Linked DNA regions of Macaca mulatta. The protein of the gene in region 1 binds, or shares a complex with, the protein of each later gene. Links are inferred from orthologs where the notes say so. Each region holds a gene or a part of one and is shown on either strand. Other genes may lie near its edges.

Region 1 (6,995 bases):
AGGTTCTGCTCACTGTGCAGCCACAGGGCTTGTCAGCCTCTGGGTCCAGATGCATGACAGGACAGGGCAGTGACCACCATGTACCGAAGGCTTCCATGTGCCAGGTCCCGTACTTGGAATTGTTATACTTCTTAGCCATCAACTGAGGAGGGATGGAGACAGGAGGGGGAAAGAAGGGAAGGGAGGGTGGAATAGATCAAGGAACCCATTCTCTGCAGAAGTCCTTTGTCCAGTTTGGAGACTGGTTTTCATCAGGCACACCTGTTTCCATTCTCTGACTCAGATGCCCTATCACCAACCCCACTGCCCCAAACCCAATGTGAAATGAATACCTATTGTTAGTCCTATCTGTATATCTGACCTGAAACATGACAACCTTTAAGGCAGTGGTTCTCAAGCAGGGGCAATTTTGCCCTCCCTATCCCCAGAAAAAATTTGGCAGTGTCTACAGATACATTTTCTGTTGTTACGGTTTTAGAGAGATCATGAGCTCCTACAGGGTAGCGGTCCATGATGCTGCTAGACATTGTACAATGCAAGGACAGTTCTCACAATAGAGAATTATCTGGCTCCAAATGTCAATAGTGTTAAGAAACTCCGCTTGAAGGAAAAACCAGCCCCACACACCTCACTTAACTCACTAAGGTTAACAAATGGGCAGTTTGCCAAATGCCATGGATTAAAAAGCGCTACCTTGAGTGACTCTTTTTCTACGGCCCGACACATTTCTGTACAATTTAGCAAGTAAAGAGTCCTTTCAAGAAATGATTCTTCGTTATTTGTTGCTGGATCATCATCATTTCATTCAGTCATCCACGCATTCATTCAACACACACTCACTGAGCTCCCTCTTACACTGGTGACAGACTCCAGGGATAGAAGATGAACAAGATGAGGCTCCATCCATGCTCAAGTTTAAAGTGTGTGTATTAGGGTTTGGGGGACAGATGTGTTAGTAAATAATTACAGTGATGTTCCAGGTAAAAAGTTCTCATGAGATGCATGGGGGTGGGGCCGCAGAGCGGGGGTGTGCTCAGTATTTCTTATGGGAGGCCTCAGAAAACTGCCCTATTTGGCCATCACCACTTTTTGGGTTCCACTTACAAGGGTCACTTCTGACGCCTCCCTATATGGAGTAGAGGGAGAGTGGTAATAAGCAATTTGCCCTCAGTGACCTCCCTCCATTAGGAAGATGCCTATAATTCCCCTCGAGGGGGAGCTTCTAATGAATAAAAAATTATTTGAACACACTTAGATTTCAGAATCAAATGTCTGACCACCCAGAGTCAAACAGAAGGAAAGCAGGGCTCCAGAGGCTGGGAAATATTCCAACCAAAGTAGGTCAGTTTCACTCCTATTTATTACAGGCGTTCTCAGCCAAGAAGTGTGAGATATAAGGTCTACAGAAGCCATAAAGTAATCCAAGGGCCACAACTTATACACAGAAAACCATCTTATGATTATGTAAGACAGTAATGTGCCATGGCTCATGCCTCTAATCCCAGCACTTTGGGAGGCAGAGGCAGGCGGATCACCTGAGGCCAGGAGTTTGAGACCAGTCTGACCAACATGGAGAAACCCCATCTCTACTAAAAATACAAAAAACTAGCTAGGCATGGTGGTGTATGCCTGTAATCCCAGCTACTCAGGAGACTGAGGCAGGAGACTCACTTGAACCTGGGATGCGGAGGTTGCAGTGAGCTGAGATCGCGCCATCGCAGTCCAGCCTGGGCAACAAGAATGAATTCCGTCTCAAAAAAAAAAAAAAAAAGAAAAGAAAAAAGAAAGAAAGAAAGAAAAAGAAAAAAAGGAAAAAGAAGGGGCATAACAGACAGAGCCCTGGATGGTTGGGAATCAAGAGACCTGGGTGCTAACCTTAGTGGGTTAAGTGGGGTGTGTGGGGCTAGTAGAGCTGCTAGTCCTGGCTCTGCTACTAACTTGCTGATGTCGGGCAGCTCCCTTCTCTCTGAGGGTCTCAGTGTGCTCATTTTTAAAATAAGGGATTGGGGCCAGAGCCTAATGAAGCATCCTTCCAAGGTACACTGAAGACTTAAACCAAGGGAAGCCTCTCATTTTCCCCTTCCACTTATTCCTGTGATAATCCAGGAATTTTCTTGAGACAAGAATGCAGACTGAACCTCAGTCCTGCACTTGAGGTACCAGTTATGACAGTCTCAGAGTCACTGCAAATACTTAAGAAGGAGGCTGGGAGGGTCCCAAGGAAGGAGCTATTGCCTCTCCTACCCCTAGCCACGGAATAACACACCTCCAGGCTCTACCTGGCTTGACACTGTCCCCAGTATCCCAGTTGGCATTTCTCCAAACTGGGAGTCGAAACTCATGAGTGCATGCTGTTGCTCTAGCATCTTCCAAGGCCAGCACTGCCACTGAAGAGAGGAGGCTCCACCGTGGAAAGGGAGTTCCAAGCAAGCTCCAAATTGCACTCATCCCAACTACTGCTGCTGAAAGTCTTGGGGCTACCAGAAAAATGAGCATCTCCTGAGTGTCAACATTGGGAGCATTGATTTTCCTTATAATCCAACCGGAGGGGACTACGGGAAGACAAGGAGGTTGGACACCAGGAGACTTGCCCAGGACAGAGATCAGAGACTCAACTGGGTCCCCAAGCACTTTCCCTAGGAGCTTCTTGGAACAGACACCTTGGGGACCAGTTTGGAATGCTAGTGGGAAGGGATGATTCTGGAATCTGGCCCCCACCTCTAACCCCCACTCCCTCCCCATTCCTTCCTTTCTGCTGGTCTGGGTGGGGCCACTCTCTTTATCACAGATCCCAGAGCTCCGAGAGGCCGGAGACTCCCAGGAATTTCTGTAGGAAAGAAAAACAAACCACCCATCCTGCCGCTATTATTATTAGTAGTAGTATTTTCCTCCTCCAGCCGCTTGCCAGGACCTGGCTTTGGGGAACAGCAGCACCCAGCAGCCACCAGACACGCAGACATTAGGGAGCCGCGTCCCACACGAGAGGGTGTGGGGAGAGTGGCAGACGGTCCCATCGCAGACCCGGAAGCTCTTGCCGGAGCTCCCTTCAGGTTTTCCCATCTGCAGCCCGTGAGTGTGAAAATGTCAAGGTTTGGGGGCAGACTGATACTGATGTGGGTTGCAATCCTCTTCTTCTGACTTGGAGCAAGAATTGTTATTCCCCCTCTCATTTCCTTTCCTTGTCTATAAAGTGAGGATGGTAATAGCAGCCTCGAAAGGTGATTGAGAGGTTTCAAGGAAAGATTGGAGGCAAAGCGCCCAGGACACAATAGGCACTGCCCGGGGCGGCTCCAGAATTTCCGTCTAGGAGTGTCTCAGAAGCCAGGCTAGAGGAAGGGGTGGGTGGGGGGCACGGGGATTCATCTTGGAGCTGCCTTCGCGTGGCGCGCACAAGGTTTTTCTTTGGGAAGGGGTCCCTGCGGAGAAGAGCTGGGAGAGATTAATGTTGGGAGGATTGACAGGGAAGAGTCCCCATTCCTCAGCGGAAGATCTGCTAGTCCCCTCCACCCGCATCCTGCCAAGGCCGGAGAAGCGGCGAGACTGTCGCTCCCTGGGTCCCCTAGCCTTCAGAAGGGGGCAGTACTCACCGAGTGCGCGGCGCAGACGAGCAGCACCCGCAGTAGTAGCTGCTGCAGCGGCGGCGACAGGTGGGGACGCATCGTGCCCGCACGTTCCCCGAGGGCGCCCCGACGTCCACCCGCCCGTGCCCTTTGCCCACTCGGGAGTTCAGCGCCCCGCGCACGATCCCGGGCTCCGGCCGGCCGCTGCGCCCAGAGGAGCCATGGCTGAGCCACCCGACCTGCGGCGGGCCCGGGGACTGCTCCTCCTCGGACCAGGTGGCCGCGCGCGCTCAGCAGCCCAGCCCATTGATTAGGACGCGGCGGCTCCGGCGCGCTTCCTCCACCCGGCGGGGGACTGGCTGGGGGCCGGCGCGGAGGCCAGCAGGGGAGGAGGCAGAGGGAGGGCGCGGGGGCCGGAGTAGGCTCCCGCAGTCTGGGCCCAAGCTGGAGGAGGCCAGGAGAGGGCACGCTGGCTTAGTCTACCACGCGGCAATCCCGCACTACCCCAGGTCCAGAAAGAGCACTGTTTCTGGAGTCCACGGACCGAAGGCGCAAGCTCGCTAGGGGGTCGGTGGGCAACTTAGGTCACCTTTGTAAGCCTCGGCTTTCTCAGCCCTAACAACACATCTGAGAATACCCACTCTCAGACTGAAAGTTGTGACACAGTCAAGGCCCATTGCATCTATTCTCCCCAGACAGCTACTTGCACTTTATTTCCGATTTTCTGTATTTTTTTCTTAATTATTGAAGTCATTAGCTCCCATTCCATGAAGTTTCACTCCGATGAGCTCCTCCTTTGATGATGACCAAGGAAGATCTGTGGTATACTCAGGCATCTGGGGACTGTCCTGAGGATGAACCGCCTGGGAAGCTATTTAAGCCTCAGGCAGATAGTCCCAGTAGCCCACTCCAAGGGTGCTCCCTATCCTGGAGTACAAGGCGCCCCAGATGGCCTTTTTTTTACTGTCACATAAAAAAGAGGGTTTCACCATGTTGCTCAGGCTGGTCTTGAACTCTTGGGCTCAAGAGATCCTCTTACCTCGGCCTCCCAAAGTGCTGGGATTATAGGCATGAGCCACTGAGTCCAGCCCTAGATGGGTCTTGTAAACTCAAGTTTTCTTTGTCTGCACTGGTGCCTACTCCCTTCCCTCTTCTCTCTCCCCCTTTCTTTATCTTTCTCCCAGGCACTTGAAGTACATCAGCTCATTTAATTCTCCCTCAAACCCCTAGGTGATATGATGCCCATTTGACAGAGGAGGGCATTGAAGGTGGAGGAGGTTTCATTACATGTCTGGGTACTGCAACTCAGAGGCTCAGACAGGAAAGCCTGGATCTACCCTTCCATGGCTGACCTGACTCTCTGTAACTGGCCTCTACTCAGACGGCCATGCAGCTAGTAAAGTAACAATGTGCTCTTGTCCTTAGCAGCCTTCCCTACCAGAAGAGACTGTTAATAAATCAAGGCTGGTAAATCCCAGAAGAAATAAAAGGGAGGAAAATCCATTCAGCTTCTAGGTCCAAAATCAATGCTCAGTACACATCAAACCTAAAGTATACATAATCACCAACTTCCTTCTAGAAACTCTTTCTACATAAATACTCACCCAAGGGCCTAATGAAATGTGCAAGGATGTTTGCGGAAGCACTGTGACAGTGGCAGGAAATGAGATGATATATGGGGAGAGGGAACCACCCTTATTTCTTTCTTTCTCATGGGCAGCAGTCATTACTATAATGCTCCTGACTTGTTTCTACCCCTTCACCCTCTCTCTGTCTGTATCCCTCTCTGTCACGCGCACCCAGACACATGCATGCATGTATACACAGGTGAGACCAGTTTACATGACTGATGCATTCAGAATAAGGAACTGGCATGAGTTCGGTCCCCTCCTCTCTCCTTCCTTTCACAGTGTGCCCCGCTACAGAGAACCTGTAACTGGATTTCCCTGGGCCAGGCTGTGATCGGTGGTCGAGGCTCTAGTGGAACAGGTCCAGTACCACCAGTGACAGGGTGGTGGTCTCTCTAATTCTGGGGTTTAGTTAGGAAACCGCTTGCCCACAAGTACAAACCACATTCCGCAATACTGACTTTATAAAGTGGTATTTGGCCCCATCTGTCTTGATCTTATTTCTCAATTGGTTCAAGATTCAGGCTGGAAAGAAAAATGTTATTTCCTAGGCTCCTTGAACCTCAGCATCCTAAATGTCCATCGCAAAGGGCGTGAGGTAAGGATTTGCAGTTTTTACTATACAGACTTCTGTGTTGTTTGAATATTTTCTGTAACAATGCTGTGTATGGCTGTTTGGGGTTGAAATAAATAAAAAGAAAACAACACAAAAATGCGATCCGTGCTTTATACCAGAGCCTCATGATATCTGATGAAAAAGCAAAACAACATTAGTTCTGGGCAATTCAATAAATTTCTGGCCTGTAGCAAGCCATTCTTGCTTAAACGGGAAGCTCTGCCTCTCGGAGAGTTGAGAAAAGGGATTGAAGTGCCCCTTGAAAGGTCCTTAAAACCTGCCTGAAACAACAGTTTCACAATAGGGGTAGAAGGGAAGAGGTAGGGAAACTAACCATATATTTACCACCTATCGTATGCTGGGGAGTCTGTTAGGAAGCTCGGGTGTGTTATCATATCCAGTCCTCCAAGACCATATAAGAGATGGGAACTTGAGGCTTAGGAAAGATAAATGCTTGCCTCTATCAGCACAGCTAATAAGGGGAGAAGCCAGGATTTGAATCCAGGACTGAGCCCAAGCCTGTGTCGTGAAGGAAACCAAATATTTTGCCCCAAAATATACTTATTTGACATACTTTGAGATGACTGTTCGGAGGGCCTCCAAACAGAAGCGGCCCTGCAAAGCTGTCTTTTATTGGGGAGATTGCATCTGGAGACAGAACTCTGCACTGATGCAGCCAGGCTGTCTTTGTGGAACCTCCCCGTGTCCAGATCTAAGAAAGGTTAACTGAGAGTTAGACACCTTAACGGTCTGAAAGACACACACACACACACACACACACACACACGCACCATTTGTCCTCTCTCAGGCCTGCTACCTGTGAGGTTTCATCTGCATAACAAGCCCAGCTTTACCAGCCAGGCCTCCTCTTCTCCACCACCCCCCAACCTATTTTGCCACACACCATAAGCCCCCATTCTTCCTGTAACTTCAAGATGGTATATGAAAGTGTCCGCCCCCTGGCCATTTCTTTGAGTTCTTGTATTTTGAAAGACTCCTGTGCACATTTTGAAATTTGCATGCCTTTTTTCCTATGAATCTGCCCTTTTTTTCAGTTGATTTTCAGTGGAACTTCAGAGGGCAAAGGAGAAGTTTTTCCTTGGTGCCTACAGCTCTTTACACAGTACTAGGATTCCTCTCCAACATGGAGATGGTCTCCTTACACTTAGGGCTTGACAAGCTCTTTTGTGC
Region 2 (5,713 bases), on another chromosome or scaffold:
TGTGGGGGCAGTGGTGGTTGAGGGAGTGGGTGGGAGTCGGGCACACTGGGTGGGGGTATCTGCTGGACAAGGGATCAGTGACGGGGATGCCACAGTTCAGGGCAGAGTCTGGACTGGAGGAAATGTGAGCATCACTCTCGGAGGGATGGCATGTGAAACCACACCCTAGGTGAGGTCATCAGAGACTGGCCCTGGACCGGCAGGGCAGAGCCCAGCTGAGGTGGCCTGGTGGGCGGGGAGAGTGGGGCAGGGACTCACCGGTGTGCCTCCGCTCTGACACAGCAGCTGAGCCTCAAGTAGTGAGTTCTCCTGTGGAGGCAGACGGGTCTGCAGTCACTGTCCCGCCCCACAGGTGGTGAGACTGAGGCCAAGGGGGCAGGCGCTGGCCCAGGGTCCCCATCATCAGTGGTCAGTGCTGAGGGTGTGGGCCCAGCCTTCTGGGGCAGGCACCACCAAGCATGGGTGTTAGTGGATGCCTGCAGGCATAGAACTCCTGGGCCCCCCGGGGAAGGTGTGGCCTGAGGATCCAGGCGCCCTTCTCCTGGGAGCCCCCACTCCCCACCCACCTGCCGCCCACACCTCGTAATCAGGAGACACGTTGAGAAACAGCTGGTTTCCCTGGATCCGAAATGCGAAGGGGGTGGACAAGGGTCCGAGGGTCACCTCCTGGCCCTCTGGGACATGGATGTCCACCAGCGGCTCGGTGACATTTGTGTTCTCCTCGACTTCAAAGAAGGACTTGTTCACAGAGCAGTCTGTAAGGTTGCAGAGGAGGGGTCAGCGCCTCCCAGCCCCTGGCTCCCCCTGCCCTGTGCCCCCACCTACCTACCCCTGCCCGCACGTACACTGGACCTGGGCCACGGTCCCCGGGGGTCGGCCAAGCAGCCCCGTGAGCAGCAGGGGAGGCCACAGCAGGGCCCAAGACCCCATCTTGGCGGCTGTCACCTGGCGGGAGGGTCCGAGTGGGTTTGGCGTCCAGGACTGGCGCAGTTCCTACCTCAGCGACCTTCGCCCCAGCCAGACGCCGCCCACTTTATGATCCTTTACAACCGGCCTCTGCCAAGGGGGCTCCCGCTGGCCGGCGGGTCCGGCCCACTGCCAGAAGGGGGGCAGTCATTTGGCCCAAGTTAGACTGAGTACAGGGATTAACCAGGGGGCTCAGGCCACAGGCACCGAGGCACAGGGCAGAAAGGACTAGAGAATGGCTCACGGGCGCCATGGGGCTGGGGCAGGGCAGGGGCAGAGCTAGGGTGTTGGAGAGAAGCCGTTGGTGTTGGGGTGTCTGAAACCTGCCTCCCTAGCCCAGGCTGCCCTTGCTTGGCTCCTCCCCTAAGCTCTACCTCAGGCAAAATTCCTAAGGCCAACCCTTGAGGCTCAGAACCTGGGTGTTCGCCCGGGAGTACCTCCCTGCCTGCCTGATGGCAGGTTCTGCAGGAAGAGACTCTCCTCACTGTGTCCTAGGGACACCCCTGCCTGCCTGCCCCAGAGACAAGCCAGCTTCTCAGGGTGGGGCTGGACAGGGCCTTAGTGACCAAGGCTAAGGCGGGGCTGTGGGGGGCAGCTGGGAGCTCCTGGGGAGCCCTGGTGCCCAACAGAGGGGGTGAGGTGAGTCTTGACACTTGCCCTGCTCTTTTCATTGGCCCCCGCAAGCCCCCAGCTCTAGGGAGAGGCCACTGGCTGGGGTCAGGGCGAGGAAGGGGCTGTCGTGAGGCGGGGAGTGGAGTCATTCCTCTCCAGGCCTGTGCACCGAAGCTTCTGGCCTCTCGTGGCTGGGGCTGGGCTCAGTGTCCCAACCCTGCACTGTACCCTCATGGTCGCCTGCAAGCCCTGCACGCTCCATACGCCACAGGCTCTGAGGGGTCAAGCCACTGGTCTGAGGCCACACAAGACAGAGGGTCCGGAGTCCTCATGCCAGAGTGGACTCCTGGCACCCCAGGTGACACCTCTGCCCTCCCCTCTTCCTGCCCGCCTGAGCCTCCCTGGCCCCTCCACACCCTCCCCACTGCCCCTTCCGGAAACACTGACCACACGCCACCCCCCACCCCCCTGCAGGAGCTGAGAGTCTGTCCGGGCTTCCCCTGAGCCCTTGACTGTTTCCTAATGAAGACAAGGGGGGGGCGGGGCCCTGCGGTGCTTAGTCGATGTACAGGAGGCGGCACTGATGCCAGAGATAAGGATGAGGGGCCCGCTGTGGCCGCCAGGTGTAAAGGGCAGCTGGGTGTGGTCACAGTCCCGGCTGGGTGGATGGGGCCCCCTTCCATCTGACAGCCCTGCTACACAGGGGTTGCCTCGATTACACCAAGTGGACACAACCAACTCCCAGTGTCTGGATCTGATTCTCCTTTATTGGTGCCGAGTTCCACCCCTCCCCCTCTCCCCCCAGCCTGCCCACCACCCCATATGCAGCTCCGCTCGTAGGCTGGGCAGGTGGTGAGGGGGTTCCTTCCTCATCTCGGTCGCAGGGTTCCTTCTGCAGCAGCACCGGCAGGTTCTGAAACCATAACCCCAGGCCTGGGCCCAGGGGGCAGCCAGGGAGACCAGGCCCCGCCCAGGGGCATCCTGCAGAGACAGCACGTGCGGGGTTGGGGGCTGGGGCTGCGGCTGGAGACCCCGGCCCCGCCGCTGGAATTGGGCCTCCGGTGGCCACCAGCGCTGACCCAGGGAGGCCACGGACAGAAGGAAGGGTCTGGGGTGGGGTCTGGGGTGGGGTCTGCGGTGGGGCGGGCGCTCACCAGGCCTGCAGGGTGGGCGTGTCGGACCCGGACGGGCAGAGCAGACCCGCGCTGAGCCTGGACCAGGCCGTGCTGTTCTCTGCGTCCTGCTCGCTGTCCCCCGCCCCAAAACAGAGTTAGTCCTGGAGGTGGGGGGTCGCGCGTTGCTGCCAGGGCACCACGGCAAGACCCCCGCCCCACCCGGCCTCACCTGCGCTTCCCCACCAGGCCCTGTAGCAGCCGCTGGAGCCGCGCGCCCTCCCGCAGGCGGCTGAGCTCGCTGGTGAACGTCCCGTCCGAGTGTCGCCGGGCCCTGGGGGCGGGCGGGGGTCGGGGTCAGGGCCGCGCGGGGGGCGGGTGCGGCCGGGGGCGGACGGGCCTGGCGGGCGGCTCACCTGGGGGGCGCGGGGCGCGCGGCGGAGCCCCCGAGGAGCAGCAGCAGCAGCAGGAGGGGCCGGGGGGCCATGGCGGGGTCGGGCGCGGGAGCTGAGCGCTGCGGCCACGGCCAGAGCCCCGCGAGGCCCCTTTATGGCGGCGCCCGGAAGGGGGACGGCCCGGCCGCGCCCAGCGATCCCGGGAAGGTCAGGGCCGCCCCCCCAGCTGTCGCCCCGGCCCGGCCTCCCGCCCCCTCCGCCGCGCTGGCGCCCCTCGGCCGGCTGGGGGAGGGGGACGTCCCGGCCTGGGGGGCGAAGGGGACCCGGGCCCGGGACCCCCAGAGGGAACCGCACCGCGAAGCCTCGGAGCCTGCGGGGCGCGGGGACGGAGGGGCCGTGGGACTTGGGGGAGGATTTGGGGGGACTGGAGGACCCCGGGGAAGGGGCGGCGGCAGGAGCTCCGGAGGCCCCTGGAGCACCCGGCTGGGGCGAGTTCGTCGGGAAGGCCTGAGCGGCGTGACTTTGTTGTGGGGGCCGGTGTTGCCATTTTATCCGCTTTGAAGTGCAGGGTTCAGGATCATTGGGTTCGCTGACATTTCCGTGCATCCGTCCCCACCATCCGTTCTCAGACTCTCCCATCCTCCCAAAATCCGTTCTCAGGCTCTCTCGTCCTCCCAAAATCCCTTCTCAGACGCTCCTGTCCTCCCAAAATCCGTTCTCAGACTCCCCATCCTCCCAAAATCCGTTCTCAGACTCTCCCATCCTCCCAAAATCATTCTCAGACTCCCCATCCTCCCAAAATCCGTTCTCAGGCTCTCTCGTCCTCCCAAAATCCCTTCTCAGAGGCTCCTGTCCTCCCAAAATCCGTTCTCAGACTCTCCCATCCTCCCAAAATCATTCTCAGACTCCCCATCCTCCCAAAATCCGTTCTCAGACTCCCCATCCTCCCAAAATCCGTTCTCAGGCTCTCTCGTCCTCCCAAAATCCCTTCTGAGACGCTCCTGTCCTCCCAAAATCCGTTCTCAGACTCCCCATCCTCCCAAAATCCGTTCTCAGACTCTCCCATCCTCCCAAAATCATTCTCAGACTCCCCATCCTCCCAAAATCCGTTCTCAGACTCCTCATCCTCCCAAAATCCGTTCTCAGGCTCTTTCGTCCTCCCAAAATCCCTTCTCAGACGCTCCTGTCCTCCCAAAATCCGTTCTCAGACTCCCCATCCTCCCAAAATCCGTTCTCAGACTCTCCCATCCTCCCAAAATCATTCTCAGACTCCCCATCCTCCCAAAATCCATTCTCAGGCTCTTCCATCCTCCCAAAATCCGTTCTCAGGCTCCCTTGTCCTCCCAAAATCCTTTCTCAGACGCTCCTGTCCTCCCAAAATCCGTTCTCAGACTCTCCCGTCCTCCCAAAATGAAGCTCTGTCCCCATCAAACGCCCCCTCCCCTCCCCAGCCTGGCGCCGCGTCCACTTTCTGTCTGTGGATTCAGCGCCTGCAGGGACTGCGCGCAGGGGGAGCCTCACAGGATTTGTCCTTTGGAGACCGGCTGGTTTCTCAGCTCAGCGTCCTCCGCCTTCGCCGCCGCAGCCTGGCCTGTGTGGGAATCTCCTTCCCTTTAGGGGGAACCGTGTCCCGTTGTGTGCAGGGACCGCGTCGACCGCGTCCGTTCATCTGTGGGCCTCTTCATGGACACCTGGGCTGCCTCCCCTTTGGGGCGAGGGCGAATAACGCTGCTGTGAACGCGGGTGTGCAAAGGGCCCTTCCCAATCCCGTTTTCAAGCGTTCTGGGTGTATAGTTATGAGGGACTTGCTGAGTGACAGAGTAATGATGTGTTAATTGTTCTGAGGAAAACAGCCAAACTGTTTTCCACAGCAGCATCTCAGACGGACACGTCCCCCAGCAGCACAGCAGGGACACGGCTCTTGTCCTCGCCGACACTTGCTACTTTCTGGCTTTTTGTTTGTTGTGTACTAACGATGCTGGTGGGTGCAATGTGGTGTCTGGCTGCGGTTTTTATTTGTGTCTCCCTAATGACCAGCACCTTCTCGGGTGTCTGTGAGCCATTTATACCTCATGGAGAGGACGGAGAAATGACCGTCAAGCCCTTGATGTTCTGCTGTGGTTTCGAGCCATGCACTGTATCCATCTGTTAAATCGGCCACACTATTTACCCCAGCATTTGCATCACAGCCCCGCCAGCCACGTGGGTCCTTCCTTCCTTCCTTCCTTCCTTCCTTCCTTCTTTCCTTCTTTCCTTCCTTCCTCCCTCCCTCCCTCCCTCCCTTCCTTCCTTTTCTTTTTTAGATGGAGTTTTATTCTGTCACCCAGGCTGGAGTGCCGTGGGGCCATCTCCGCTCACTGCAACCTGCAACCTCTGCCTCCCGGTTTCAAGCAATTCTCGTGCCTCGGCCCTCCAAGTAGCTGGGATTACAGGCACCTGCCACCATGACTGGCTAATTTTTATATTTTTAGTAGAGACAAGGTTTCACCACGTTGCCCAGGCTGGTCTCAAACTCCTGACCTCAAGTGATCCACCTGCCTCAGCCTTCCAAAGCACTGGGAATTACAGGCGTGAGCCACTGCACCTGGTGGCCTCACTTTCTCTGCACACTGTCAACCTTGCAGCAGT

The links.
Region 2: the proteins of SCTR (region 1) and SCT are in contact, whole or in part, in a cryo-EM structure (PDB 6WZG), measured with the Homo sapiens proteins. The link is inferred for Macaca mulatta from reciprocal best matches to the Homo sapiens genes SCTR and SCT. Residues at the interface, in NP_002971.2 of Homo sapiens: Arg30, Leu31, Cys32, Leu35, Asp71, Asn72, Pro117, Val125, Val127, Asn128, Asp129, Asn132, Arg135, His136, Leu139, Leu140, Leu142, Lys143, Tyr146, Tyr150, Arg188, Asn192, Lys195, Leu199, Phe200, Ser202, Asp203, Val205, Met219, Phe222; in NP_068739.1 of Homo sapiens: His28, Ser29, Asp30, Gly31, Thr32, Phe33, Thr34, Ser35, Glu36, Leu37, Ser38, Arg39, Leu40, Arg41, Glu42, Arg45, Leu46, Gln47, Arg48, Leu49, Leu50, Leu53, Val54.

The regions. Positions count from the first base shown.
Region 1 is NC_133417.1:17,983,728-17,990,722, reverse strand, and holds the start of SCTR (secretin receptor), read right to left. Parts: upstream 3,927-6,995; 5' UTR 3,660-3,926; coding exon 3,588-3,659; intron 1-3,587.
Region 2 is NC_133419.1:519,047-524,759, forward strand, and holds SCT (secretin), read right to left. Parts: upstream 3,267-5,713; 5' UTR 3,178-3,266; coding exon 3,107-3,177; intron 3,025-3,106; coding exon 2,923-3,024; intron 2,826-2,922; coding exon 2,733-2,825; intron 2,560-2,732; coding exon 2,448-2,559; 3' UTR 2,326-2,447; downstream 1-2,325. Other genes in the region: CDHR5 (cadherin-related family member 5), read right to left, coding at 259-309, 580-755, 846-930. UniProt on the Homo sapiens protein: Hormone involved in different processes, such as regulation of the pH of the duodenal content, food intake and water homeostasis.